Linked DNA regions of Rattus norvegicus. The protein of the gene in region 1 purifies or fractionates together with the protein of each later gene. This does not show direct contact. Links are inferred from orthologs where the notes say so. Each region holds a gene or a part of one and is shown in the gene's direction. Other genes may lie near its edges.

Region 1 (4,037 bases):
TGTCTTAAGTTTTTTGAACAGGAAAGTTGTCCTTGTTTTGGTTTTTTGAGACATGCTCTCATTCTATAACCTAGGCTGGCCTGGTACTCCTTACATAGCCTAAGCCTCTCTTAAACTCACAACAATCCTCCTGCCTTAATCCTGAGTACTAGTACAAGAGGTCTTGGAAAATTTGATCAGTTCTATTATCTGTTGGACATCTCATATATTCACTTAAACCGACTATCAATGAATTTTTACCAATAAATACTGAGAGTCAAAGCATGACCGTATGCATGCTAGCAATAAGCACAGGACTTTACTGAGTGTGGCGGATACAATGAGTCTTCTGTCCTTACTGGAGTTCCCAGCCCAACAATTAGCAGCAGCAACCTACCTGAATCACAACTAGTGCACTTGTTAAAGAATGACAGTCGTGCCTTTTGCTTAGTTCTGTTTCTCTAGTTTGATAAAGTTTGTTCATGGAGATGAAGAAATCACCATGAAAGTCGCCCACTGGCAAGGACAACAAAGGGAAAGTTTTGCATGTGGTGGCACATGTCTGTAATCTCCGCATTTGGGAAGTGGAAGCAGGAAGATCAGGCGTTTAAGTGCTTCCTTGAGACCCTGTCCACTCAACAAAAACAACTAAAGTGAAACAAGAAAAAAGGAGGGGGAGAGAAAAAAAGAAAATTAAGAAAGTGGCGATGGTGTCTACCTAGAGGTTTAACTTTCTGAACGGAATACTGATTCAAACTGTGAGGTAGGAACCTCTTCTAGGTGGCAATAATAGATAAGCTTGCTGGACATTATTGAAGGTGGAGATTTGATAAATCTCAGGTAACGAATATGATAAGATTTTTCTTTTAAGTGCAGAGTGACCAAACATCAACGTGTTAGTTTCCAAACCCCCGTGTCCTAATTTTGTAGACTGAGCAAGGAGTACTAGCATGCCCCTGAAATCCAGCACTCTGAGGTTTGAAGCAATTGAAAGGCCACAACTTCCGAAGCCAGCTGGGCTACGTACCCTGTTATTAAACAAACAAACCCCACCATTACCCAGTAATTTTCTAGGCTGTAGAGTTATGTGTTCAAAACAGTCGACTTCGCCTTTCCAGAAAGTTAAAAAAAAGAAACTACAAAGAAAACTCTACAACTCCTGAAAGTGGAGGTGGGCGGCGCGGGATTCGCGGCACTCTGGGATTTGTAGTTTCGGGCCGACTCTGAATCCCAAGTTGCCCTGCGGCGGGTCGTCGCGTCTGCGCAGTGCAGGCGGCGGGCCGCGCAGAGTGAGAATCTCTTTTGTTCGGCTGAGGGGAGGGCCGTTGGCCGGGCCTGCGGTACGCCGCTTCATCTGGACGACCGACTTGAGGCCACACGGCTGTTTGCTCCTCTGGGTGCTACTCCCTGGGACCGCCTGACGCAACGCGCAAGAAGCGCGACACCGATTCCTCTCGGACTGTCGGGCGCTGCTACGAGGTGAAGAGGCGGGCTGGAAGCGGGAGGGGGAGCGACGGCGGGAGGCCGCGGGCGAGCGCGGGCCGCTAACGGAAGAGTGGAGACAGGAGCTGGGGACGCGGCCCAGCGCCCGACCGGTCGGTTTCCCGCGCAGAGCTCGCGGTCTGCGGGAGCGTGGAGAGGGCGGGGCAGTGAATCCAGAGTCCGGGCGCGGAGTGGTTCCTGAGGAGCGGAGCCATCGGAGGGTTAGCTTTTCAAGAACTAGACGAGGAGCGTTTGACCCGGCTCAGCAACTCTGGAGTTGGGCGGGAGAAGGAAGAAAACTTTGGGACGTCCATAAGGAGACAGGCTTGGTACTTTGGGTGTGCGTGGCAAGGATCACGACTTCGTACACTAAAGGTTTAGAAGTGTAACCTGAGAGAGTGGACACGGTGGCAATCGCGGGCAATCCCCTTAGCACTTGGAGGAAAGAAAAAGAAACCTGAGGATATTGGGTTCAATTGCCACTATCAGAGAAATTTCTCTTGCCAGAGTTATGAAAAAGTAATTTCCAGTAAAATTGGACGTGGGCTGCTCCGGGTGTGCTAACGGGGAAGAGATTTGTTGAACCTGTCTTGGGGTGAAGGGTCAGACATTTTCTTGACCTTGTCTAAAAGTGGAGTTGCTGGGGTAAGTAGGGTAGAAGTCTAACGTGTCCATGTCAAATGTGGAAGAAAAAAGGGGTACTTGGGGGTGTGTAGCTTAGTTGGTAGAATGTTTGCCTACCCTGCCGCAAACCCCTGGATTCAATCCCCAGTATCCCATAAATTAGGCTGGGTGTGATGGCCTGTACCTGTAATCTTAGCACTTGGGAGCTGGAAACCGGTGGATCGGAAATTTAAGGCCTTCCTTGGCTACCAGAGGAGTCAAGGGTGAAAAGGCCACTTTCTGCCTTTAATAGGTCTTTATTGTGAGTAGGGAGGCTGTATGAGGCAAGACTCATCAGATAAAAAAGGTTCTTGCTGTGTAAGCCTCAATTTAACTCTTAGGATCCAGGTAAAGGTGGAAAGAAAGAGTTGACTTCACAAAATTGTCCTCTGATTGACAAGTGGGGTATGGCAGGGACCAAAGAAAGCAGGTCCTGCATGCCCACAGGCATCGAAAATAGTTTTATACTGAAACACAGTATATGAAATATGGAACTCGGGGCTGGGGATTTAGCTCAGTGGTAGAGCGCTTACCTAGGAAGCGCAAGGCCCTGGGTTCGGTCCCCAGCTCCGAAAAAAAAAGAACCAAAAAAAAAAAAAAAAAAAAGAAAGAAAGAAATATGGAACTCATTTCGGTATTTGGTACTGAGGACCTTGCACACATGCAAGTTGTCTACCACTGAGTTATGTTTCAGTGCCATAAAAAGTCTTAAAAATTATATACTAGTTATATATATTATATACTAGTTACACTAGAATATAGTGTCCTCTCCAGTTTTGTGTTAATCAAAAGATCTAAGGTTTTCTGATAGATGTATGACTATAATCAGGATATTGGTGCCTGTGCTCTTCCTTGGATGCTCTCTAGGCATATATGGGAGGTGGTGTGTTGAAAAGAGCCCAGTTATCTGTGAGTACAGCCAGCATTTGGGGGGTAGAGGCAGGAGCAGCAGAAGTTCAAGGCCTAGGGAAAAGAGTCATATGTTCCTTAAAAGATTTGGGCAGTGAAAGCATTTCTAATTTTCTATCTAGTCACTTTTTTTTATTTTTTTTTTATTTTATGTATATGAGTACACTGTCCCTGTCTTCAGACACACCAGCAGAGAGCATCAGATCTCATTACAGATGGTTGTGAGCCTCTATATGGTTGCTGGGAATTGAACTCAGGACCTCTGGGAGAACTCTTAATTGCTGAGCCATCTCTTCAGCTTCCCTTAGTTTTGAAAAGTGGGGGCGGGTGTTCCATGACATACTTATGGAGATCAGGAACAACTTTGGGGGTGGGGGTCATTCTCTTCTGTAACACTTGTTCTAGTGATTGAACTCAGGTCATTAGGGTTGTGGGACCTTTACCTGTTGAATCAGCCTGATACCCCCATTTTCCAACTTTGAGGACTGGACCTAGAAGTTGGTATGTTTGGATTTTATCATCTTTTTTTTTTTTTTAAATTCATTATATATAAGTACACTGTAGCTGAAGAGGGCATCAGATCTCATAACAGATGGTTGTGAGCCACCATGTGGTTGCTGGGATTTGAATTCAGGACCTCTGAAAGAGCAGTCAGTGCTTTTTTTTTTTTTTTTTTTTTTTTTTTGCTTTTTTTCCGGATCTGGGGACCAAACCCAGGGCCTTGCACTTCCTAGGTAAGCGCTCTACCACTGAGCTAAATCCCCAGCCCCGCAGTCAGTGCTCTTAACCACTGAGCCATCTCTCTCTACAGCCCCTGAACTGAGATAGGTGTGCGCCATCATACCTAGCTGACAGTTTCAATTTTTTTAAGATTTATTTGTTACATATTAATTACACTGTCTATGTCCTCAGACACACCAGAAAAGGGCATCAGATCTCATTACAGATGGTTGTGAGCCACCATGTGGTTGCTGGGATTTGAACTCAGGACCTCTGGAAGGGTA
Region 2 (3,384 bases), on another chromosome or scaffold:
AGTGAACAGAAAGTGGAGGTCCTTACTTCCTTTCACAAACTGCACCTTGAAGTCACCTCTCCCCCTACCATTGGAAGCAAGATAGCTCCTGCCATCTCAGCTGGAGAAGGGGTGGGTGGTGGGCAGCCCTCTGCATCGCTCCTGTTCACTGTTCTCTTCCCAGAGGCCAGGTCAACATCTAGTTGGGGCTGGCTTTCCTGAACCTTCATGACCAAATCTTACCCCCCTTCTTCAGATTATTACCTCAGAGGAGGCAGAGCGGAGGGGCCAGATCTACGACCGCCAGGGCGCCACCTACCTCTTTGACCTGGACTACGTGGAGGACGTATATACCGTGGATGCCGCCTATTATGGCAACATCTCTCACTTTGTCAACCATAGTGTGGGTGCCTCCAGCAAGCGGGCAGGGGGTTGGGAGGGGCAGGCCAGGGCTCCTCCTTACCTTCCCACTGTTCTTTCTTGCCCAGTGTGATCCCAACCTGCAGGTGTACAACGTATTCATAGACAACCTTGATGAGCGACTACCCCGCATCGCATTCTTTGCCACAAGAACCATCTGGGCGGGCGAGGAGCTCACCTTTGATTACAACATGCAAGGTGGGGGTGGTAAGGGCCCCAGGGGCAGGGGCAGTGACATGGGGATGTGAGGACCCCACCCCAAGGCATATATGGGTCAGAGTAGACCAAAGGAAATTCTTTTGCTGGAGTTTTAAGATGTTCTTCCTGATTTCCAGCCTCCTTTTGGACCCTGCCCATGGCTTATGGGTTCCCATATTTGTGCCCCCTGAACCCCAAACCTGATACACTTATGCCACCTTCTTTCAGTAGTACTTGTGGGAGAGGATGTTTGGCTGAAGTGTTAAGGCATACCTCACTTCCGTCTTGAATGAATTCCCCTACCCCTCCTGACTCTAATCCTCCTTCACCTTACTTGTTCTGAGCCTCTGGATACCCTTGCGGTTTCTAGCCTGACCTCTTCTTGACTAAACTAGTCATCTCTGAGACACTTGGCAGATAGTGGGCAAGAGTTCAGGTACCTTTTTAATGCCCAGGTTGACCTCTATTCCGCAACCCTGCCTGACGTGACACTTCTGTTTCCATGTCAGCCTTCGTCCTCGCCAGACATCCCTCAAAGCCACTCATGAACAAACCCCTCTAGTGTTGTGCTCTAGTTCTAACCCCAATCCACCATCCCAAAGATCCTCTCCTAACTCAAATCTCAGACCTGCTCCAAACCTCAAGATCCCTGGGTCTTCTGATATAAGGGGTAGCAGGACCATTCATGCAGGCCTTCTAACAACCCCCCTTCCCTGGCTGTGACTTCACAGTGGACCCCGTGGACATGGAGAGTACCCGAATGGACTCCAACTTTGGCCTGGCAGGGCTCCCCGGCTCCCCCAAGAAACGGGTCCGTATTGAATGCAAATGTGGGACAACAGCTTGCCGAAAATACCTCTTCTAGCCCTGAGAAGTCTGAGGCCAGACTAACTGAAGGGGCCTGAAGCCACCTTCCTCTTCTCTACTGCTACCCTCTTGTCAAGAATGACCATCAATCAGAGCCTTGTCTGCCTCCACTTGTCCTCACCTGCCCCAACCTGCTCCAGGGTCAGGGCTGTTGTGAGGACTAACTCCCGGTACCCTTTCCCTGTTCCTTTCCCCTATCCAGGCCCATCAGGCATTGCACTTAAAACTCCCAGCCCCATTTTCAGAAGCATATTTTTCACATCAGGATTCCCTAGATTTGGAATTCATGTCAATGGAGGTCCAAAGACTGAAAAGACTGAGCAACTCAGCCCCAAAGCAGATTTTTTTCTCTGCAGCTCTATGTAGTTAGTTCAGGCTGGCGTTGGACCTTTAATCCTCCTGTCTCAGCTTTCCTCATGATGAAATTATAGGTGTAAACCCAGCTAATTGTATCTGCTAATTTTCTAATTGTATCTGCTTCAGCTCTGAGCCCGAGTGACCTGTTGCAGGCCTCTTCACTGCTCTATGAGGAAGCAACCCCTAGGCAGACAGACATCAGAGCTGAGATACCAGCCCAACATCAAACTGGATCAGCAACCACGGGGCCTTTGTACTCATGAAAGAAAAGGCAATCTCCAGAAAGGCTGATTCTGCTCATTGTGCTTTTAATGCTGGCTAATACTAACCTTAAGACGCATAGGGTTGCAAAGAGAGTTGCAGGTCTGAAAAGTAGTTGCCCAAATCCCATCAGAATGGGAATGAAGTAAATACCTCTTTGAAAGCCCCTCAGAAGGGTTAGAACTAAGTTTTACCATCAGGAAGTAGAGTGCTGGGCTTACTGGAAACCCAGCCATGGCATTTGATGGCCACTAGAATTAGAAGCTGGAACCAAGATCTAGGTATTCTGTAGAAAGCACTTAAAAAGACAATAACGTGCATCGATTAGAAGGTGATGTGATGCCAGGCACTTGGTAGAGCACCTGGTCCATATGGATTGTCTCAGGGAAGCCTTGAAAACCACAGAGGTGGAGCCCAGGAAAAAGCCCATGTGACAGAAGGCAATGTCTAGGCCTAAAATACTTGTCAGCTCCAAGTATTCACCTGGGTCCACTTGTCTCAAAGTTAACTGCCTAGAGTTGTACAAAAGGCAAAGATTCTGATGGCTGCCTTGTCCCCTGCTTCCCCACCTCCAGGAAGCTTTTCCTGAGTTCCTATACCCAGAGTACCCCTTTGTGAAACTCTGTACCCTGCTACCAGATGCCAGGTCTGTGTGTGTATTTTGTATATATGTGTCCTGCCCACACTCCCCAGGCTGACCTTCAGGCATGGACTGAATCTGGTTTTCTGTGTACCCTCCTCAGCCCTCTCTAGCCTGGAGTGCACACCAATAAACTTTGTTGTTGAATTAATAAGCTGGAGATATGAGAGTTGAGGTCTTGATAACTAGGAAGTGAGAGAGGTTAACTGGGGTTGCTCTAGAATGTGGTCAGAGAGGCTTGAGTCATCTGACTGTCATGATCTTCCTACTTGGGGCCCCTTATAAAGTGGTCTAAACACTTGAACAAATAGTCCAGCCTTTTCTAAATTTATTAGTTGCCACAAACAAAAATAACTACCTGAAGAAATAGATAAAGTGGAGTTCAATATGCTAAATTCAAGCTGGGCCCTTAGTAAATTTTCAACTTAAAGCCTACCTGGTGCATTTGAAAAGGAAATACTACACAAAATTTTTCTGCCAATATTTACTGAGCAACTATATATGCTAAACACACTGCCTCATGTTTGGTTTTATCATGTGATCCACTGCTTGTGTTGTGCTCAGAGATTCTGTTCTGTAGGTGACAGTCTCAAACAGCCTTATACCATATGACAAAAGACATTCAAAACCCAGATCTTAGACCCTGCATTCACACTCAGATA
Region 3 (4,062 bases), on another chromosome or scaffold:
CAGACAGAGTTTCTTTGTGTAGCCTGTGCTGTCCTAGAACTAGCTCTGTAGACTAGGCTGGCTTTGAACTCAGAGATTCACCTGTCTCTGCTTCCTGAGTGCTGGGATTAAAGGTTTATCCCACCACCACTCGGCAACAAACATACTTGTTTTATTGTTTGTTTGGTTTGGTTTTTGTTTTGTTTTTGGAGACAGGGTTCTTGGCTGTCCTGGAACTAAGTCTGTACACCAGGCTGACCTCAAACTCACAAAGATCTGAAAAAACATACTTTTTTAAAAAGTAATTTTTTTTTTTCTTTAAAAAGAGCGATTGAGGAAGACACCCACCAATGGTTTCTGGCCTCTACATACCAACATCAACACAAAGAGAGAAGGGGAGGGATGACAGATAATTCTAGGGAAGTTAGGAGCCTCAGTTAGGTGCACATTCACAGTGCACCGTGTGCAAAATGCCAGTAAATGACTTCCTCCACACCACAGTCCAGCTCCTAACAAAGGGTCCATTGGTGCCGGCTCTCCAAGCATTAGAATTCTACTCCTTATTACTCAGTTCCTAAAGACTACCTGACACCCTGCAGAGGATGCTCCTCTTCCAAGAGATACTTCAGCCCAGAACAGGAAAGACACTGAACCCGCGCCACGGAGCAACCCCAGGTTGGTTCTATTGGTCGCCTTCTGAGTGGCCTGCAGACACTACCTAGGAAGAAAGGAGGAAGGAGAAACGCTAGTGAATAAAGCTCACCGCACCCAGCCGTCTCACCACTTAAGCTATTCCCAGTCTCTCCAGAAACTGAACAGGAAGCTAGAGGCCACATCAGGCTTGGGATCTTCAGATTTTCCGTCCTGCCATCCCGACCCCCGTAGCCTCAATCCTGAGGAACCTAACCTAAGAGAATGGGAAATTACCAAGTCCTGAGCATTTAATCGATATTCACTGGCGTAGGAACAAGAAAAAAATACGTTAGGTAGAGAAACTTTAGCTTCCCTACACTTGTCCAGATATATCAAGAAACCTGGCATAGTGTTTTTCGGTCGATTAGAGCTAAAACCGGGCTGCCCTCAATTATAATGGCGGTGCAGTACCAATTTAGCTTCTTTGCCCCTAGGTAGTATGGCCGGCAGGAGATTTCACGTAGTTTCTCCTAACCCCGGAAGACCGGGACCGGTGATTGGGCGGTGCCTAAGACACAGAGAAAAAGGCCTCTGACGGTTGGACAGCGCTGTGTAAGGCTGGCTTTAAAGAAGCCGGAGGTGGGAGCTGTTGAAAACCCCGGATCCTTGGAAAGCTGCGGTGAGCGACGCGGGGGAGGGGAGGGGTGGGGGGGACCGGGCTGGAGAGAGGGCAGGGAGGCGGGCGAAGAAAAGGTTTGAGCCAACTAACTGGTCCGGGGCGCCCGAGAACGCGGGGCGGGGATCCAAGTAGGGCGGGGGTTTGGGGTGGGATGTTACCGGTGGGCTGGACCTTCTGGGACTGGAGTGAATGGTCTACCAGTTTGACAGTTTATACCCCAGGATCCGGACTGAGTTCGGTGATGAGTTTAGGCCTCCCCCCGGGGAACTTCGTTAAGCCGAAGCTCACAGTGGGAGGAGGGGAGTCGCGCGGCTTCTGATTGGAAGAACCGTGCAGTAGGATTCTTTCCTCAGAGATCCAATTTAGGCGATCTGGTAGGAGGGAGGGCTGTTAGTATGTGGAGTGATTCTTTTGGAGCTCTTGCTTGGTGGGGCAAGGACCACACAGGAATCTAGCGGAAACGGAAGCCTCTCAGGACCGGGATCCCACCGGATCCCAGAGAACCTCAGGGAGGCATCTACAGGGACAAAGGTCCCAGGAGGCTCGACCTGTGGAGAGCTGTAACCTCCGCAATCCAGTCTCGCGGCAGGTGCCAGGCAGGGCCCGAGTGATCAAGGCGGCTGCAACGGGAGGACCCGGCTCTGAGCGGCCGGTCGGGGGCGCCCTTGGAGGAAGGGCCTGTGCCCTGCCGGGAGCCGCAGGCGGACTATGAAGGGCGGAGTCCCGGGGGAGGAGCTGGCTCTCACTCCCCACTCCCTCGCTCCCCAACTTACCCCAGGCCTCAGCCTGGGATCCCCCAGGGACTCCCCGGAACCGCCGCTTCCCCCATGGATTTGCCTGGGGACTCCAGGTGAGAGCGTACCCCGCCCGCCTGACTTGAGCTCGGGAGACCGGGATGCTGACGGCTGTACCCGATCACAAGAGCCAACAACAGGTTCCGGCAACTGTCTTCTACTTCTCTCACCCTCCAGCCCTTCTACACAGCCAAGCCTGTGCCGTCAGCCTCTAGCTCGAGCATTATGGGAAGCCAGGAGCCCGAAAAGACCGAGGCTGCAGCCTTTGGGGAGCCCTTCATCCCTGGAAAAGGCCTCTCGGAGGGTCCTGGCCGTGGTGCTAGAAGATGTCATGGCTACAAACAGGGTGAGCCCTTTAAGTGAAAGACCACTCCCCCTTCCCTATCCTCCATCCCTGCCCTGGCTTAGCACTCAAGTCAGACCTGCTCCATTAAACCAGCCTTCAAAGCAGCCTCCGTAATGCAAGACTTCATGGTTTGGGGGAATTCGTGTGTCCATCCAATCACCCCTTCCACCAACTGCATCCTACTGAGTATGAAAAACTCTTCTGACTACGCTGTTATAGTTCTCTTTTGGGTTCTTTCTTCCATCCTACCAACCCCCTGACACTAGATAAAAGAGAAAAAGGATAGAGAGGAAAGAAAGAGATCCCGGAATAAAGGCAGGGGTAGACTACTTTCTGCTGATTAGAGGTGTTGAGTTCCTCGGGGCAAGTTTGATCTTCGCCATCAGGATACCTAATTTCTTCCTGTGAACAATAACAAACATCCAGTCAACAAACAGCCCACCCACTCCTGGGGGCATTAGCATTTATATGTCCTCTGAAAGTCCCCAGAATTCCAAATGTCACACAACTGCAGAAACTATCTGCAGCTGACAAAATTACATCCCTGCTGGAGGCAAACCATAGTGAGCGGCTGTGGACAATCTAAAGCAGCCCCATATTCCACACCTGGGATTAAAACAAAAACAAAATATTTGTGTATGTTTTTTTTTTTAAAGAAACCAAAAATCCAAAATTGCCACTTCTCTGTCCTCTTGGGAATCATGCTGTGGTGCCTTTGGCCACAAGGCAGAGATGAGGAAAATGACGCTGTCTTTTATGTCTCTCCAGAGCCTGGGGAGAAGAGTAGATTACTTTCTACACCTGTAGATCCTGACTAACATCTCACCCTTAATTAAGACCAAATCATCTCCTCTATGAATCTGAGTGTATTCTAGCTAAAATCTCTCTCACCTTTGTGGCTAAGGACATAGTGAGACACAGAAGACCCTGTCCAGCCATTCTAGTTTTTGTTGTTGTTTTGTTTTACTGAGACAGGGTCTCACCTTTTAGCCCAAGCTGACCTAGAACTCAGCAATCCTCTTGTGTTGGCCTTACAAATGCTGGGATTATAGCAGTGAACCCAGTTTTGCTTGCTTCTAACAGCTCTTCCTCCTGTAGGTTCCCCTGGCACACAAAGCAGACGTCCCCAGCCTACTGAATCACAACCATCAGCAGGATTCTGTCTGCACTCAGTCACCCACTTTACCATCCCACCAGGTCAAGTGGTCCTTGGAAGCCAGGCAAGTGTGAAAGGGAAGGGGATAAACCAAGAAGATAGTTGAGCCCACTGACCTCGTTCTTTCTCTAGGCCTCCTGACCCACTGCATTTGTGCAGAGAACCCTTGAGTCGTATCCGCCAGTCCTCACCCACCTCGAGGATGAGATCAAGGATGGCCCCCGGCCCAGAGGAGAGCCCTTCACAAAAGACAGACCAGGTCCCCCAGCCCACCCTGGTGGTGGTACTGAAAGACATTGCCAGTGCCAGACAACCAGTTGAGGTATAAGAAAGTACAGTGAAGACATCTGGGTCCAGCTAGGGCAAGCTTGGGGCTGGGGGTGGATTTCTGTAAAGGCCAAGACAACTGTTTTTGTTTGTTTGTTTGTTTGTTTTGTGGAGACAAGGTCTCAATATATAGACTTGGGTGGCCTAG
Region 4 (3,500 bases), on another chromosome or scaffold:
TGGCCTACATACATGGAGAGTATTCAGTCTGCCAAGCAGCTCTCCTGTCCTGAGGCCTTGGTCTTCCTCTTAGGACTGGCTGGGAGTAATGTCAGCATTTGTCTGGGCCCACAGAGGCTGGGGTGTAAGAAGATGTAGTTGAAGACAGCAGGAGGGTTTACCATAGTGGCGCTGTCAGTTGCTCCTCTTCCCTGCAGGGTTGCTCCTGTGTTTGCTTCCTACCCCTGTAGGCTTCCTAGTTTAGGTTGTGTTCCCTATCCACAAATGAGGAAGGCGCTCCTTCACACGCCTCTCTCATTCCTCTGCCTGGGTTGTCCTTGTACTCTGCTTCTGAGACACCTCCATCTCTGGCTTCCCAGTTCCCGAACTATTCTGTCATCTTAGAGCACTTATCTTGCTCCTTTCTCCCTATAAAGGAAGCTCTGGGTCACATGTATGAGCCCACTGTCTGGTTTACAGGGTCCTCCATGTGCCACAAACTACATCTCTTTTCCCTGTGCTCCTTATCCTAGCATTGCTCACACATGCTACTGCCCATTGGACACCTACCATGTATCTAGAAATCTATGTCCTGGAGTCCTGGTGGGTAACACCTCACCGAACCTCTTCTACGCTGTAGGCAACCCTGTTGCTCAGCATAAACAATCTTGGGGAGCCTGCACAGAGTAGTGGCCCCACAGGAAGCTGCCCTCATGCCCCGTCTCAGCTTCCTTTGTTACAGCTATACTAAGTGTGGCTTTGGTATCACTCTCCTTCATCACATGCTGGCCTGTGAGTTTTTGCTGAGCACAGTGCTCGATAACCAGTCCTAGCTGACAGAAGGGTCTTAGGTATTAATCTCTCCCAGTGGCCGCGCTAGCCGTTTCCCTGGGAGGCATGCCTACTCCCACAGGTGCCATATGGCAGCATCCTGCTAACATTGTGCTGTCTCAGTGGTGGGACAGTTCTGCATCCTTCCTTCCTAAGCTGGCAGCTGCTGAGGCCTTGAGGACAGTGGGGAGTCTCACTGTAGTCCAGTCTAAATATGCAGCAGACCTTTTTGTAGTTTGCTTGATTTATAGTCTCCAAGGGTGAGGGCTTCAGCCCTAGGTTTGCAGCAAGTCTCCTTGGCACAAAGTGCAAGAGACCAGGACATCTTTCTTTGTGGTTCTCACTGGCTTGAAAGACAGCTCCATGCCTCCACTGCCTAAGTAGTTACCTTTTCCAGTAGCTTGGTTTTGTGTCTGTCCTGACACCCAGAAGGTGAGTGTGCCTCAGAGCTAGCCCTCTGGCCCCCTTGGGTGGACCTCTGTGGTCTTCTTTCTCAGCTTTGCCTCTTGAGCTTTGCGCAGCTGCCTCTTGTCCTTGGCTGACCTGTCTCCTTGTACATCTTACAGCCTATGGAGTCCATGCACGAGAAGGGCATGCCTGATGACCCACGATACAACCAAATGAAAGGGATGGGCATGCGATCAGGGGCCCACACAGGTATGGGACCTCCGCCTAGTCCCATGGACCAGCATTCTCAAGGTACAGTTTGGGCTGGTTTTTGTTTCATGTTCATGTGCCTGGAGCTCAGAATCTGCTTTCTTTAGTGGAGATTTCAAGGACAGCTAGTACAACTGAGCTATGGGTTGGCCTCCCTGGTGACGTGTGGCTAGTTCTCTATATAGCCCTCTTGCCTTGGAGCAGTCTCGAATACTGAACAGGTGGGACAGAAATGATTGGTTAGCATGTTGTTTGAGGTCAGGGATTAGCATGATGGAGCTGGGGCTAGCAACTCCAGTGGTGCCTTAGGCCACTGCTTTAGGCAAGATGGCTTTTCTACATGGGGATGATTGATACTGTAGATGACTTGTTGAGTCCCCCCGTCACTAGGGGCAGTAAGTAAGGTACTGGGTCCTAGGATTCATAGGAATGACAATGGAGAAGTTGACCTGGACAGAGGGCAGGCTTGATGGGGCCTGGTTTGCAGTTTTTACCTTTTGAATTGATTAACTGTACCCCACTGAAGCATGTATCCAAGCTCATTAGCTTGTGTCATGACCACATTAGCTGCTGGGCTGAGGCTCTCAGTCAGCCACCTACCTCTGGGTGCTTCTTGTTTGACTCAGGAGAATGATGTTGCCTAGTTACCTCTCCAGGGATGCCAGGTAATGTGATGTGATTTAGCTGTTATAGATGCATGCTGCTGAGTGACCACTGAACTAGTCTTTCCCTGCAGGTTACCCCTCACCCTTAGGTGGCTCTGAACATGCCTCCAGTCCTGTCCCGGCCAGCGGCCCATCTTCAGGCCCTCAGATGTCCTCTGGGCCAGGAGGGGCCCCACTAGATGGTTCTGACCCCCAGGCCTTGGGGCAGCAAAACAGAGGCCCAACCCCATTTAACCAGAACCAGCTGCATCAACTCAGAGCTCAGATAATGGCCTATAAGATGTTGGCCAGGGGCCAGCCATTGCCCGACCACCTGCAGATGGCCGTTCAAGGCAAGCGGCCGATGCCTGGAATGCAGCAGCAGATGCCAACACTACCTCCACCTTCAGTGTCTGCCACAGGACCTGGACCCGGCCCTGGCCCTGGCCCTGGCCCAGGTCCAGGACCAGCCCCTCCGAATTACAGTAGACCCCATGGTAAGACCTATATCCCTGCCGCTGGAGTGGGGAGAATGCTTAATGTGTATGATAATAGCAGGCAACCCTGGCTCCCAGCTAGTGGTACCTAGGACTGCTGTGATGGGTGGGGGGTGGGCGGTTATGTCTACCTAAATGCCATTTATTCATCACTCTGGCCAATAATTATTGTGGTGGGTGGGTATGTTCCCTGAGCTGATATGAGAGTAGGCCAGCAGCTTTGAACATAGTTGTATTTATGGTGCTTTCTTTCCTTTAATATAGGTATGGGAGGGCCCAACATGCCTCCTCCAGGACCCTCAGGTGTGCCCCCCGGGATGCCTGGTCAGCCTCCTGGAGGGCCTCCCAAGCCATGGCCTGAAGGTAAGTTTCTTTTCTATTGGTGACATGCTCTACTTCTTGTCATGAACCTGAACTATGCAGGACTCCAGAAGTTAGGCTACAGTTTTTTGTTTTGTTTTGTTTTTTTGTTTGTTTGTTCGTTCGTTTTGGGTTTTTTGTTTTGTTATTTTAAGATTTATTTATTTATCATATATTCGTCACTTCAGACACACCAGAAGAGGGCATCGGATCTCATTAAAGATGGTTGTTGTAAGTCCCCATGTGGTTGCTAGAATTTGAACTCAGGACCTCTGGAAGAGCAGTCCATGCTCTTAACCACTGAGCCATCTCTCCAGCCCTAGGCTACAGTTTTTCACCCTAGAAACCTCAGATTTTTCGGTGGAATTCTCTGGGGTTCAGCTGGGGTCCACAGGGTACTTCTTATCTTCCTTGTCCTATGGGTAGGAATCCTGCAGTCTCCTGCAGGGGATGTGTCTACTATGGGACTCAAGGTGATGGCTGGTTATAGCTGTGACTACAGGCAAGCTTACTCAGGATAAGGGGCTCCTGA
Region 5 (4,052 bases), on another chromosome or scaffold:
TGGGAAGAAGTGCGATGAGACATTTGTGCGCATGTCAGTCTGTATGACGGGAAGCTGAAAGACTGACTTCATTTCACCCACGATTTCTCCGCGGAGATGGGTGGGTAGGAACATCACGCTCACTTGCTGCTGTAATTTCACAATCAAATTAAACTACCACTTATGAACAAATAGGATAGGCCGGCTCTATTTCAGTTATGACTTGTCTTCATGTAGGAAATAAAAGCAGGTTGTGGTCAGTATCATCAGCCCAACATTGGACACGCTTAAAACTGATGTGGCCACTTATCGAGTGCCTATTATCTCTAGTAACTAGGCCAAACTGAACAGAAGGCAGACTAGAAAATGGTGCAATCGAGGCAGGAGGATAAAGGTTTCCGACTGGGCAGAGCAAACGTGGTGCATACCACCAGCCTGGGGAGAACCTAGAACCTAGATGGCGGTTGATGGGAGCCCAAGTCTTGGTTTGGTTGTATGGACATGACCTTCTGAATGGAGAGTTGATGAGGACAGGGGTTGTCAGACTGGGAAATCTCTGGGATCCATAAGGGGCGGGGATAGAAGACAGGCCTGTTAAAAGGACTGCAAAGCATTTTAAGAGAGAGTTTCTATTTGTCTTCTCCAAAAGTTTCTGCTGAGCCTCTTGCTGCATCTAGAGCAGGCAGGCTTTCTGTAGGAGGGGCTTGGTCTTTCCATGGATGGAGACTCAAAAACAATTTGAAAGCTCCTTCTCCATGTACAATCCAACTTGAGAAATATTCCACCATTATGCAAATACATGCAATTAAGTCTCTTGTTACACAGTGTGGTATGGATGTAACTTTAATTCTCAAAATTCTCAAAAGGTGTGACACAAATTTTCTTAAGAAGAATGATGAGTCAGGAGATCCTATCCCGTTGGCTCACCAAGATATGTCAATCATAGGCACACTGGTCCAAGTTCCTAGAGTTTCTAAGTCCTATCCTCCAATGGCAAGCCAGTATCCTCAGGGCTGGCTTCTTATTGGTTTGTAGGTATGGGCGGGGCCACCCACTAGGCTCCCACTGGCTCCACCCCCATTCCATGCAAAAGAGGGCAGAGCTCTGGTGAACCCATGTGATTGGTCATGTGGTCGAGGACGGATCGCCCCACCCCTTCAATGACGTCACCACCAACCCAAACTATCTCGAGAGCTAGCCCAGAGGTGGAGAGGGCTCTAGACCCAGGGGGTCCAGGGGAGGGGGCTGCGGCAGGCCCCACCCCCTCCAGATCCTCGAGGCCCGCGGGGTCCAGGGGCCTGGAGGGGCCCGTGAGATGAGCCCAGGGGGTCCCCAGGCACACTCTACACCCATTGGCTGGCCTCGTCGGCATGCAAATAAGGCAACGTCACTTCCTGAGGCAGCTGAGCGCCATCTTCTCTTTCTGGCGCGCGGGAGGAGGGACGGGCGCGGGGCGGGGGTCCCGCCGCGTAGGCGGAGGACGCGGCGGTGTTGCGACGGCGGCGGGACGCGGCGCTCCTCGCGCCCCGTGGTAGGTACGGTCAGCCCGGCCTGCGCCGTCCCCGATCCTCCCCGCGACCCACCCGCCGTCCACTCCTGGGTCCGCCCCGACGTCCCCACCGCTGTCCGCTGCGCTGTCCCCACTGTGGCCTGCCGCGCCGTCGCTACCACGGTGCCTTCGGAATCCCGGACATTCTAGTGCGCGGCTCGGGTCCCCTCCGCGCCCGCTCGCGGGTCACGTGGGAGCGGGGCCGTTCTGGGGAGGGGGAAGGGCGGGGACAGGGGACGGGGAGAACAGAGGAGAGGACTGGGCAGGGAAGGGGGACCTGCGGAGCCCGGGCACCGGGAACAGAGGCCGGGATGGATGGGGAGAGGGGGCGGGGCAGGGACGGGACGCCGGGCGTGGCGAGTGAGAGTGGTTGGGAGCGAAGGGAGGGTGGGCGAGGACGCTACTGGGAGGCGCGGAGAGACTCCGCGGTAGCGGGCATGGCGCCCCTCTGCGGCGACCCGGGAATCAAGCTGAAGCCTGACGATCAGTCCGTTGGCGAGGATGGCGGGATGCAGGGCAGGATTGTGGCCACGTCTGAAGCGCCGAGTTTTCTTGAAGGAGAAGCTGATCTCAGGCACTGCCGAGGGCAAAGCCCTGCCCCTTCATCCAAGATGCTGCGGCATTCGTGACTGATACGCAGATGCTGAGTGTAAAATTTAACTTTGCATCTGCCATTTTAGAGGGATTAAAATAGGTTTTATTCGCACAGTTTCTACAAAGGTTTGATTTGACGTAGTGTATTGTAAGCAGCACATAAGTTTTGTAACTATGCTTGACTTTGAACCAAAACTCGTTTGAGTGCTCAAAGTTAATGCGCTTAGGATGAGTGATCACTCCATACAGGTAACCAACCTGCAGTATACATTAGTACCGTCGTAACCTTCGCCTCAAGGGTTTTACTAGTTCGGGGCTTGGACTGGTCTAGTCTGATGTGGGAACAAGGGACAGCATGTGTAAGAAGTTATGGTAAGTGCGATGTTAAGCTCTGGTTGGAAGTCATGCATATCGCCTAGAGATGTCACAGGTGGTGGTGATGTTGGCCCCATAACGATGTCTTGGGTAGATGGAGGCCCTGGTCAGAAAATAGCGTTGACACAGTGATCCTTAGGTAGAGGTCCTTAAGCACAGATTTGTACTTAGGATAGGCAGGAAATGAAGTCATTTCAGGCTATTTTAGGCATCTCGTTGAGAAATGGGAGGAAGAGAGGTCTGGATCATTGGCTTTAGGGGATAAAAGTTAATGTAGTTTTTAGCTTGAGGTTTTGGGATTTGACGATATCTTTTTCATTTGAAATCAAGCTTTCAATGTACTGTTGCTTCATTGGTGGTCCCCTATACTCTGGGAAGGTAGGGCTTAGCTTTTCCACACCGCACCCAAATCCTTTGTCTGTTGCTAACCTGCTAGTTAGAGAAAGCAGATTGATGACGGTCAGGTGGCTAGAAAGGGGTTTTCCTGTGGGTTGAGGCAGACTTTCTGAATCACAGTGTTTGGAAGTTGCTAAAAGAAAGTCCTAATAATGGTTGGGGCATCTTACGGAGGTTTTTTTTTTAATATTTTATTTATTTATTATATATGAGTACACTGTAGCTGTCTTCAGACACACCAGAAGAGGGCATCAGATCTCATTACAGGTGGTTGTGAACCACCATGTGGTTGCTGGGATTTGAACTCAGGAACCTCGGGAAGAGCAGTCGGTGCTCTTAACCACTGAGCCATCTTTCCAGCCGCCCTCACTGAGTTTTTGATTTAGATTTTACTAATATGATGATTATGTGTAGGGCGTTACCAGTGCTGTCAACTGCTCTTGAAGTAAATTCCTTGCATTGCTTCACAGATGCAGGCAGCTGAGGCCCAGAGAGACTAGGTGGTTAGCTAGATTTTCCCAGCTATGAAGTGTTTGAGTTGGTCTCATCCAGGAAAAAGCTCCAGGACCTGTGTGCTGTGTGACCCTTGCTGTGTTGGCACCCAAGATAAACGCGTTTTAAAAATCAGATTTTGTTGGGCATGGTGGCAGATGCCTTCAATCCCAGCACTCAGGAGGCAGAGGCAGGTGGATCTTGGAGTTTGAGGCCAGTTTGGTCTGCAGAGTGAGTTCCAGGATCACCAGGGCTGTCTTGAAAAACCAAAAACCAACCAACCAACCAACCAACCAACCAAACCAAACCAAACCAAGACCCAGATTGTCTAGGAACTAAGATTTTCTGTGTCCTAAAGGGATTATCATCTGATCATCTTTCAAAATGTGAAGTATGTGTGTGCCTGTATGCTGTGTGCCCATGAGGGGAGGTGCTTGTAGAGGGGGGAAGACCAGGTCAGTCAACAAACGAGCTCTGGTGCTGGGAACTAGACCTGGGCTCTTTCCAAGAGCATGGGCTTAAACATTGAGCCGTGGCCCCAGTCATGTACATTTCTTTCCGACTGCCTAAGTGTGAACAAGGACAACAACAGACATCCTTAAGTGGATGGTGGGAGGTGGGGGGACAGGACATAAGGCTGCTACAGGTCACTAAGGGAGTGGAAGAC
Region 6 (4,300 bases), on another chromosome or scaffold:
TTGGACTCCACTGTACCAGGCATGAAGCACGTGGTGCCCAGCCACACGTTCAAGCAAAACCCATATTCATGAGATAAAAATAAAGTCTCTATGGTACATCCCTCCCAAGCAGTTGGCCGAAAATAGACACGAGTTTATATGTTGTGTATCTATTCGTGTGTATGAAGGCAAGCTTACATTTCGAAACAGCCCAACAGTTGTGCGGTTGTGAGAAAACAGTCTAATCTCTCTTCGCCACTTTAGGTCGTAATGAACTTGCACACACAGGCTACAAGAATGCCTGATGGATGCACAGACAGCAAGCACTCCAGTGTCCGCAGTTATCAGCGAGTGAAATAATTAGAGTGGATAGTAAAATATCCGGTTTTTGGATCTTTTTTTTGCTGCTGCCGAAGGCACCATTTTCCAGGAAAGACACCCTCGTTCTTGTCAAATAAATGCAATTATGGCTTATCCCTCTGGATGTTAATGATATCTTGAAGGGCACGGAGGTACGCAGTTCATGATTGTTGCTTAACTAGTGGGAACTTTTAAAGTTCTTCATGGGAAAAAAGTTCAGTCAAACCAAAGAATTTTGTAAGGCAGGCCCATTAGAGTATTCTAGAACGTTTAGTTCACCTTCAACAGGTTAGGAACTTGTTGACTCGGTTCAAAAGCAAAGCGAATACCTCTAATTAGTGCGCCATTTCCCTCAGAAGCCTATGGCTGAACGCTTGTTAAAAGGGGGATTTAGAAGACCCTCTGGGGAAATCTATTGATTACTTGAAGAGTTAACCAGCATTTCAGACGTCTCTTTGCATGACTCCAATTTGGACCATCAAGGCATGTTCCTCAGTGCAGAAACTGCCCTCGCAGAGCCCTCAGAACCCAAATCTAGGGCTTCTTTCTGGGTGTCTTGACTGAGAGTTTCTACACCTGATGCTGTTTAACCTCAGAAAACCTGTCTGTGCCAGTACGCCAAGGTAGGCCTGGTATATATGTTGCTGATTCTTTCAACAGTAGGAAAAGAAACGGGATTTTGGCAAACTAGCGATTGCAGACACCAGAGATGGGCCTATTCCACCTTAAAGGGCCTAGGCATTCCTGGTACTTGGGTCTTGCAGAGTTTGGTTGCCACCATATTTGGAGCGTGCCTACTTTGGGGCGGGAACCTCCTCGGGAGTGGTTAGGTCACCGCTGGGGGAGGTGACCTTGTTTGGTTTTGGCACGGGAGAGCAGCGGTGCGCTGTTTCTGCCGCGCCCCCCGTGGGTCTGATTGGCACGGGAGCTCCGGCTGCCCCAGCGCACGGGCGCGCCTCGCTGGCCTCCCACGGCGGCCGGCGGCCAGGCAGAGGCGGGAAAGCCGCGCGCCTGCGCCGTGGGAACCGAGGCCGGAGGCGAGAAGCGGGGAGCGGAGGGGGCCGTTGGAGCCGAGTAGCGTACAGAGCGGCGTGTGACGCGGGGACGCCGCGCGCTCCCAACGTCGCCCCGGTTTGACGCACACGGCACCAAACTGTGAGTTTCGGGGGTCTTATTTTGGTTGGATTAGCCCGGGCCCCGGCTGCATTTCGGACGTCCGGGCTGAGGCGGTGGCGGGACTGAGGGTGGCGGAAGAAGTTGTGGGGGAACCCGGCCCGCGGCGCTCGGGCCCGGGGAGCTACGCCCTAGGCTGGCTCCCAACCCTCCGAAAGGACGCGTTTTGCCGCACAGGCTAAGATGGCGGCGGTTGCCGAGGAGGCGGAGTTGCTGCTGCAGAAGAAGCCCGGGTCGCGGGGTCCGGGAGGCGGCGGTCGCGGGGGGCCGCGGAACCTTAGGTGAGCGGCGGCGGCCGCCGCGGGGCGGGACTCGGTGGCGGGCGGGGGGGCCTTTCCGCTCCGGCGGCGGAGGATCCGGTGGCGGACACAAAGGGGCCGAGCCGGGCTCTGGACTTGGGGGGTTTTGTTTAGTCACATGTAGCGGAGCAGCCAGTGAGCGGTAGGGGGAAGGGAGCCGCGATCTGGAGGTCCTGGGGAGCCTTGCGGTCGCCATTGTAACGCTCCGAGTAACGGGGCGGCCCGACAGCAGTCAGCCGGCGCCCGGTGTGCGGCTGCTCCGTCCTGGCCTGCAGCCCCGACTCTGGGGCTAACTGTCCACACCCCTCCCCTGACTTTGGGACCAGAGCACATAGCTTTCCCCTTCTTCCCACTGGTCTGCAACATCTTGTGCCGCTAAGTGCCTGGGAAGTAACTCCAAGAGGTACAAAAAGGAAAAAAAAAAAAAAAGGAAAAAAAAAAAGGAAAAAAATCACGCGAAGTGTTTGGGTGGCCAAGGGGCTTGGTGGGTATCTAGCTAAAGCTTTTTGCCTCTCCAGGTCTGATTCCCTGGCCTTTGTGTCCCTGGGAGCTTAATCTCTGCCAGAGGAAAGCAGGTGTGCTCCATCCACTCCTCCCGAGAACATGAAGATGAGTTGCCCCAGACCCTTCCCCGTGATTGGAAACTTAGGTGGTTTCTTGTTTCGAGACTTCCACAGACGACTCTCGTGTTGGGATCCATCCATGGTTTAGCGACATTAGTGGAAAAGTTTTCTTCAACTGTTTAATACTGACTTAAATGTAGTTATAAAACTTTCATATTAGATTTCAAATATTATGTGATTAAACTCAACGAGGGGATACCCACGGCTTGTGGCCCTGAAATGATGATGGTCCTGTTCTGTGCACAAGTTAATTTCCACAGAAGTACCCCAAACACTATCATCTGTTGGGGCCAGCCCCAACTGATGCCAAGTTTACTGCATCTGGGACATGTGCTTGGATTTGCCTTAATCGTGTTGTAGTTTAGTTAATTTTGGCCCCACGAAGGAAAGTATTTCAGAACTCAAGCAACTATAAAGTTACCCAGATCGAGAAAACGTGCTTCAGGGCCATGTGTAAGTATCCAGGGAACTAGGTGTCAGCAATACAGCTGTGCCTTATCTCGGGTAGGTTTGGTAAGAGAGAAAGGTAGATTCTACAGTGAAGTTATAACTCAGTGTAGACTTTTAGATTGGTGAAACCTGAGTGCTTGACTGGTTCTAACGAAGTGGTTTGCATGTTGCTGTTGAATACTTTAATACTGTATTTGCATCATGTGTTGTATTGGAAGTAACTAATACTGGTGTGAATTCCAAAGGAGTTGGTCCTTGCGTGTGCCATCAATATAAGTACGTGAAGGAATAGTAAAATACCTTTAGGTCTTTGAAATTTTTAACATTAAAACTTTAGCTTACTTGTTTCTTTCCTGGGATGCATTTTCCCTTTCTTAGCTTCCTTTCAAACAGAGAACAGTGTTGTATTAGCAGGCAGGAGCTACGCTCACAGTCAGGTGTGTTCCCTGGATCATACAGTTTTACAGAAGACCGTTGAAAGAGCTACTGTTCCTAGGCCTTGCCTTAGCCACGTATTAAGTTGGTGATGTGGTGGGACACGGTCGCTAGCTCCTGCCCTTGTCATAGTTTTGTTAGCACCTGGTAATGGGACATTACTGATGATCCCCGTTAATTAAAGCGTCTTCAGTGAGACTTTCTGAGACAAAACAGTTAATGTTATGTAATTTTGTAGTAGTGTTGCTTATGTATGGATTTTTGAGAACTTTCCAACCCTGACATGACCCAGAAAAGCAAAAATTAAAAACAAAAACCGTGCTTGACAACTAATGTGGGGAGTTGGAGATAACCGCTGTTACTGCTAGAGAAGGCCAAGGGATGTAATCGGTGTTAGGAGCCATGCTGGTGTCTCTCACTCTGTAATGTCGTTTTGACGCCTCTCAGGCTCTTTAAGTGACTTTTAAGACCAGCTGCTGCTAGTACAAGTCTTAGGAAATGCAACAAGTGGTGAGATCAGGCACAGTGGAGTGCACAGTGCTGCTTGTTGTGAGGCTTGTGTGGGTCATTTAAAGTGCTTTTAATTTACTGTCTCTTTTTCTAAGAGTTCAGTCGAAAGGCTAGTTCAGTTTCAACACTGAGTATATTTAATTACACTTAGTCTTGTGCTAATTAGGGTTACTTTGAGGTTATTTGTAATTATAAAGTCAGTGTCACCTGCATGCCTTAATTGCCTCCCAGGTTTTTCAGTTTGTTCAAGTTCTTGGAGAGTTTGGGTAGCAAGAAGAAAAGCTTGAGAGATACAAAATGGTGGAAGGTCTATCATGTCAAACACGTCGTTATTGTGTAGGATTAGCAGTCTGGACTCTTCTCACAAAGTGACTCTGGGAGGAAAAGGCGTGCTTGCTAAGTGCACCAGCCACACAGGAGAGACGTGGCGTGTTGTTGAGTTGTCCAGTCTGAGTCTGTAGAGTGCTCTGC
Region 7 (3,500 bases), on another chromosome or scaffold:
TGATGCTCCTGTTCTACTCTCCAGGTGTGAGTGAGATTGAGAAAGGGTAGGACTCACTCATTCCAAATGGATTTTTAAGACAGTCTCAAAAGCCAGAATTGGTAACACATGCCTTTACTCCAGCTCTCAGGAAGCAGAGACAAAGTAAAGGCTGGTGGGACTCTCTGAGGGTCAGCCTGCCTTATACTGTTTAGCTTTTCCAGTTATTACATAGCTGTGAATAAAACACATGGATTGAACATTCCCAAAATTATTCTATTAGCACCACATTTCTTAACCAGCTGAGCTAATTGGCCTGCCCCCAAAATTATTTTAGAATTTAGCAATTGACTGTAGTGTTTTAGTTGTGGTTGTCAGGGCCGGGAGGTTTTGTAGAATTACTGAATATTTTTGACAGACTTCTTTCTAATCAGTCCCAATTTCATTTGACTCGCTTCTTTTGTGTGTCCTGCTGCCCATTATTTCTACAAAGACTTTTTGGTGCAACAAAGCTTGAGCACCTGTGCTTGTGTCTAGAAAAGGATGTGGACACAGTGAGGAGAATGCTGCCTCAAGCCTCTTTCCCTCTCTGCTTTCCAGCACACCTGACAGCCATGTTTTGAGCACATAAACAGTTTTGTGTACTGATCAGTATCTGCCAAGGGAGGTGAAACCTGTTGCTCATCCGAGTCCTCACTGACAGACTGCACATCATTTGTGGCAGGAGTGGTTTCCACCCAAAGCTGATGAACAAGCAAGCTTTGTGTGAAATGTGTTGCCCAAGGACCTCCTATGTGTTCCCAGCACTGTGACCTACAAGGCTTAGGTGTCTTGGAAGTGATTGATGAACAAGAGGACAGGTCCATTAAGTTGGACACTTGGCCCTGTTTGTGCCATGTGAAAGGAGGTTTTCCTGGGCAAGAACCTGTAAGAAACTGCCATCATAAGGAACAGAGGCTGGCAGGGGAGATTGCTGACCCAAGGATGGATTTGAGGAAAGTACACCCAGCCCGCCCTCCCTCTGCACTGCAGGGTGTTGTCTTTGTTTTCAAAATATGGTCTGTTTGTTGAGGTTTCTAGTTCAACATGGTTTTGAGGCTATTGGGGAGGTTGGGGTGGCTCTTTAAAACTTAGGCAAAAAACCTGGATGGGTGACAATGGTAAATCCTGGAGCTAGTCACTGACTTGAACTACATTTCTGAGCCAAGGTATCAGCTGTGCATGACTTCTGCCATTTAGGGTAGAGGTGCCATCAGCTCATGATCCTCCTGAGTGCTGGGATTCTAAATGTGCTATGGCCTAGCCCAGCCTGACCCCCCTAAGTGCTTTAACAGGTAGGTAGTGGCCCGAGGAAGAGGTGGAGGTCATGTGTATTAATTCTGACACCGACTGGTGTTTTATTGAAACCTTCTTGCTTGGTTTGGTGTAAAGACCAGAGAGTATGAAGGAAGAGATGGTTATGTTGCTCCTTCTGGGGAGAGAGCACTGTCCGCCCTGGTCTTAAGCTCATAGAAGTTTATCGAGAGAATGATATAAGGCTGGGAAGTGCTGAGTTTTCAGTGAACATTTTGGTGTTGGGAGACCCAGCTAAGTTGGTATTTCATAATGGGGTGTTCTGGGACCTGGGTCTTAGGGCAGCATCCCCAGATTGAGGCTTGCTGTCAGTAAGGGTGATGGTTTACAGTTAGAGTGCAGGTTTATGAGATCCCAGTTGCTGGTGCTTTGGGGTCAGTTTGTTCGTTTTGTTTTTTGTGGCTCTGGTCTTAGAGCTACTTTATTCTGCGAAATTATGTTGGATTTAGATTATTATAAAAAAAGTCACATTCAAAGCCTTAAAAATCTCACCTTAAATTTTACTAATTCAGTTTTCTTAAATAAACGTAAGTGCCTTGGTTTTTAAGAAACTTGGGAAATGGATCTACATTTTACCTTTAGTGAATGTGGGACAGCCAGGCAGCTTTTGGTTCCTTTAAGCACAAGTGCGCGCGCTCACAGGCATTATACTTTTTTAAGGATCCCAGAAAGACTACAGCAATTGCTGTATCTTCTGGTGCCACAAGCATGGCTTTTCCATCTATGTGTTTATTCTGTGGCCTACGTGAGGCCTTTGTGAGGCCTTTGCCCTGGTTGCTACTCAAGGAGCCAGTCCCACTACCATCTGGGACTTTGGTTTGAGGAGGAGACAGAAACAGTCACTGAATGACATGTTGCTTCTGTGAGTGTCATTGCCTTGATCGGGACATTTCAGATGGCAAACTCATCCCCTCATCACTGAAAGCTGAGCGAGCGAGCAGTGCTGTAAGTTCGGAGTGGTCCCAGCTTCTTTGGTCCAACATCAAGAGGAGACGTGCGCACTTGATTTGGTTTTGAGATAGCTGATTGATATTGGTGCTTTCATTTTCCAACTTCAAATTCATCTCTGAACAGATTTTTACAGCTTACTGAGACTTGTGTGCCTAGACTTGTGGTCTAAAATGTCCTCTTGTAAAATAGAGAGGGAAGGCCACCAAGCACTCACCTTTTTGCCTTCAACTCAAGTGTTCTGTGCTAGGCAAGGGATTCTCAACTGAGGGAGCCAGGGTTTGGGATCCTGTCATCAGTGGAAGTAGTAACTTTTACAAGTTGTACATGTTTTGACTTGACTTAAATTTTTTTTTCCAATAGAAACTATGTTCCAACTTCCTGTCAACAATCTTGGCAGTTTAAGAAAAGCCCGGAAAACTGTGAAAAAAATACTTAGTGACATTGGGTTGGAATACTGTAAAGAACATATAGAAGTAAGTAGCATGCCATTTTTAAATTTTAATGTGACTCAGCTTCTGATCCATCACTGTGTCCATGGGCAAAGGTTCACTGTTAGGTGTGGTAGTAAATTTTAACTAGACCTTCAGCTTCTCCGTACGTAACCTTCTCACTTAGGATAGCTTACATCGTTTTCCCAAAAACCTAATCATCTTTGTAACCTGAGGCAAAACTAGTTACAGCACGGAGAATATATACAAGTCAGACAGTGCACGAGGTGCTTTAAAATTATATATGAGCTTTGTCCTTGAATAACCTTTAGGGGGCTCTAGGAATTCTTATCTCCAGTCTATGAAAGAGGAATTGGGGCTGCAGAGCCTGTTTTCCTTCTGACAAGCCTGAGTGTTTCTGTTGACCTGACTGTTGGCACAGGTGTCTGAGTGTGTGTCATCTCTTTCCTCAGGATTTGAGCATTTGTCAGCCTTCTGAACTGTCAAAGACTTATCTTGCCCTGTGTAACAGTTTGGCCTTTCCAGACTGTTTGCTATCCTTTTTATTCTGAGCCTTCGAAGCCCCGTAGGCTAGATAGAGGCGTCTCCTCCTTTTCCAGATCTCCTTGTTCCCAATCTTACGGTTAGTTAGACACAACCTCCCATTGACGTGCTTACAGCTATTTCCCTGACACGCTTTTAAGTTCCTACTGACCGGGCCACAGTTGGCCTTGGTTAGCCATTTATCTCCCACTACCTACCTGGCACAATGCTCAGCACAAAACAAAT

Evidence for each region.
Region 2: the proteins of Cbx1 (region 1) and Suv39h1 purify together in Homo sapiens (affinity purification with mass spectrometry; 3 studies listed by BioGRID and IntAct, with this or other methods). This does not show direct contact. The link is inferred for Rattus norvegicus from reciprocal best matches to the Homo sapiens genes CBX1 and SUV39H1.
Region 3: the proteins of Cbx1 (region 1) and Prr14 purify together in Homo sapiens (affinity purification with mass spectrometry; 3 studies listed by BioGRID and IntAct, counting the BioPlex papers as one, with this or other methods). This does not show direct contact. The link is inferred for Rattus norvegicus from reciprocal best matches to the Homo sapiens genes CBX1 and PRR14.
Region 4: the proteins of Cbx1 (region 1) and Smarca4 purify together in Homo sapiens (affinity purification with mass spectrometry; 3 studies listed by BioGRID and IntAct, with this or other methods). This does not show direct contact. The link is inferred for Rattus norvegicus from reciprocal best matches to the Homo sapiens genes CBX1 and SMARCA4.
Region 5: the proteins of Cbx1 (region 1) and Adnp2 purify together in Homo sapiens (affinity purification with mass spectrometry; 5 studies listed by BioGRID and IntAct, with this or other methods). This does not show direct contact. The link is inferred for Rattus norvegicus from reciprocal best matches to the Homo sapiens genes CBX1 and ADNP2.
Region 6: the proteins of Cbx1 (region 1) and Zfp644 purify together in Homo sapiens (affinity purification with mass spectrometry; 3 studies listed by BioGRID and IntAct, with this or other methods). This does not show direct contact. The link is inferred for Rattus norvegicus from reciprocal best matches to the Homo sapiens genes CBX1 and ZNF644.
Region 7: the proteins of Cbx1 (region 1) and Adnp purify together in Homo sapiens (affinity purification with mass spectrometry; 6 studies listed by BioGRID and IntAct, with this or other methods). This does not show direct contact. The link is inferred for Rattus norvegicus from reciprocal best matches to the Homo sapiens genes CBX1 and ADNP.

What each region holds. Positions count from the first base shown.
Region 1 is NC_086028.1:82,265,525-82,269,561, forward strand, and holds the start of Cbx1 (chromobox protein homolog 1), read left to right. Parts: upstream 1-1,237; 5' UTR 1,238-1,458; exon of another isoform or gene 1,459-4,037. UniProt on the Homo sapiens protein: Component of heterochromatin. Recognizes and binds histone H3 tails methylated at 'Lys-9', leading to epigenetic repression. Interaction with lamin B receptor (LBR) can contribute to the association of the heterochromatin with the inner nuclear membrane.
Region 2 is NC_086039.1:17,103,059-17,106,442, forward strand, and holds the end of Suv39h1 (histone-lysine N-methyltransferase SUV39H1), read left to right. Parts: intron 1-235; coding exon 236-382; intron 383-467; coding exon 468-597; exon of another isoform or gene 598-603; intron 604-1,328; coding exon 1,329-1,462; 3' UTR 1,463-2,884; downstream 2,885-3,384. UniProt on the Homo sapiens protein: Histone methyltransferase that specifically trimethylates 'Lys-9' of histone H3 using monomethylated H3 'Lys-9' as substrate. Also weakly methylates histone H1 (in vitro).
Region 3 is NC_086019.1:191,513,166-191,517,227, forward strand, and holds the start of Prr14 (proline-rich protein 14), read left to right. Parts: upstream 1-1,262; 5' UTR 1,263-1,291; intron 1,292-1,315; exon of another isoform or gene 1,316-1,365; intron 1,366-2,069; 5' UTR 2,070-2,118; coding exon 2,119-2,141; intron 2,142-2,262; coding exon 2,263-2,431; intron 2,432-3,529; coding exon 3,530-3,651; intron 3,652-3,719; coding exon 3,720-3,909; intron 3,910-4,062. UniProt on the Homo sapiens protein: Functions in tethering peripheral heterochromatin to the nuclear lamina during interphase, possibly through the interaction with heterochromatin protein CBX5/HP1 alpha. Might play a role in reattaching heterochromatin to the nuclear lamina at mitotic exit.
Region 4 is NC_086026.1:28,460,819-28,464,318, forward strand, and holds part of Smarca4 (transcription activator BRG1), read left to right. Parts: intron 1-1,376; coding exon 1,377-1,509; intron 1,510-2,203; coding exon 2,204-2,608; intron 2,609-2,872; coding exon 2,873-2,971; intron 2,972-3,500. UniProt on the Homo sapiens protein: ATPase involved in transcriptional activation and repression of select genes by chromatin remodeling (alteration of DNA-nucleosome topology).
Region 5 is NC_086036.1:75,868,839-75,872,890, reverse strand, and holds the start of Adnp2 (activity-dependent neuroprotector homeobox protein 2), read left to right. Parts: upstream 1-1,252; 5' UTR 1,253-1,349; coding exon of another isoform or gene 1,350-1,510; 5' UTR 1,511-1,514; exon of another isoform or gene 1,515-2,196; intron 2,197-3,068; exon of another isoform or gene 3,069-3,609; intron 3,610-4,052. UniProt on the Homo sapiens protein: May be involved in transcriptional regulation. May play a role in neuronal function; perhaps involved in protection of brain tissues from oxidative stress. May be involved in erythroid differentiation.
Region 6 is NC_086032.1:3,248,684-3,252,983, forward strand, and holds the start of Zfp644 (zinc finger protein 644), read left to right. Parts: upstream 1-1,500; 5' UTR 1,501-1,695; coding exon of another isoform or gene 1,696-1,793; exon of another isoform or gene 1,794-2,887; intron 2,888-4,300.
Region 7 is NC_086021.1:177,319,189-177,322,688, reverse strand, and holds part of Adnp (activity-dependent neuroprotector homeobox protein), read left to right. Parts: intron 1-2,643; 5' UTR 2,644-2,648; coding exon 2,649-2,756; intron 2,757-3,500.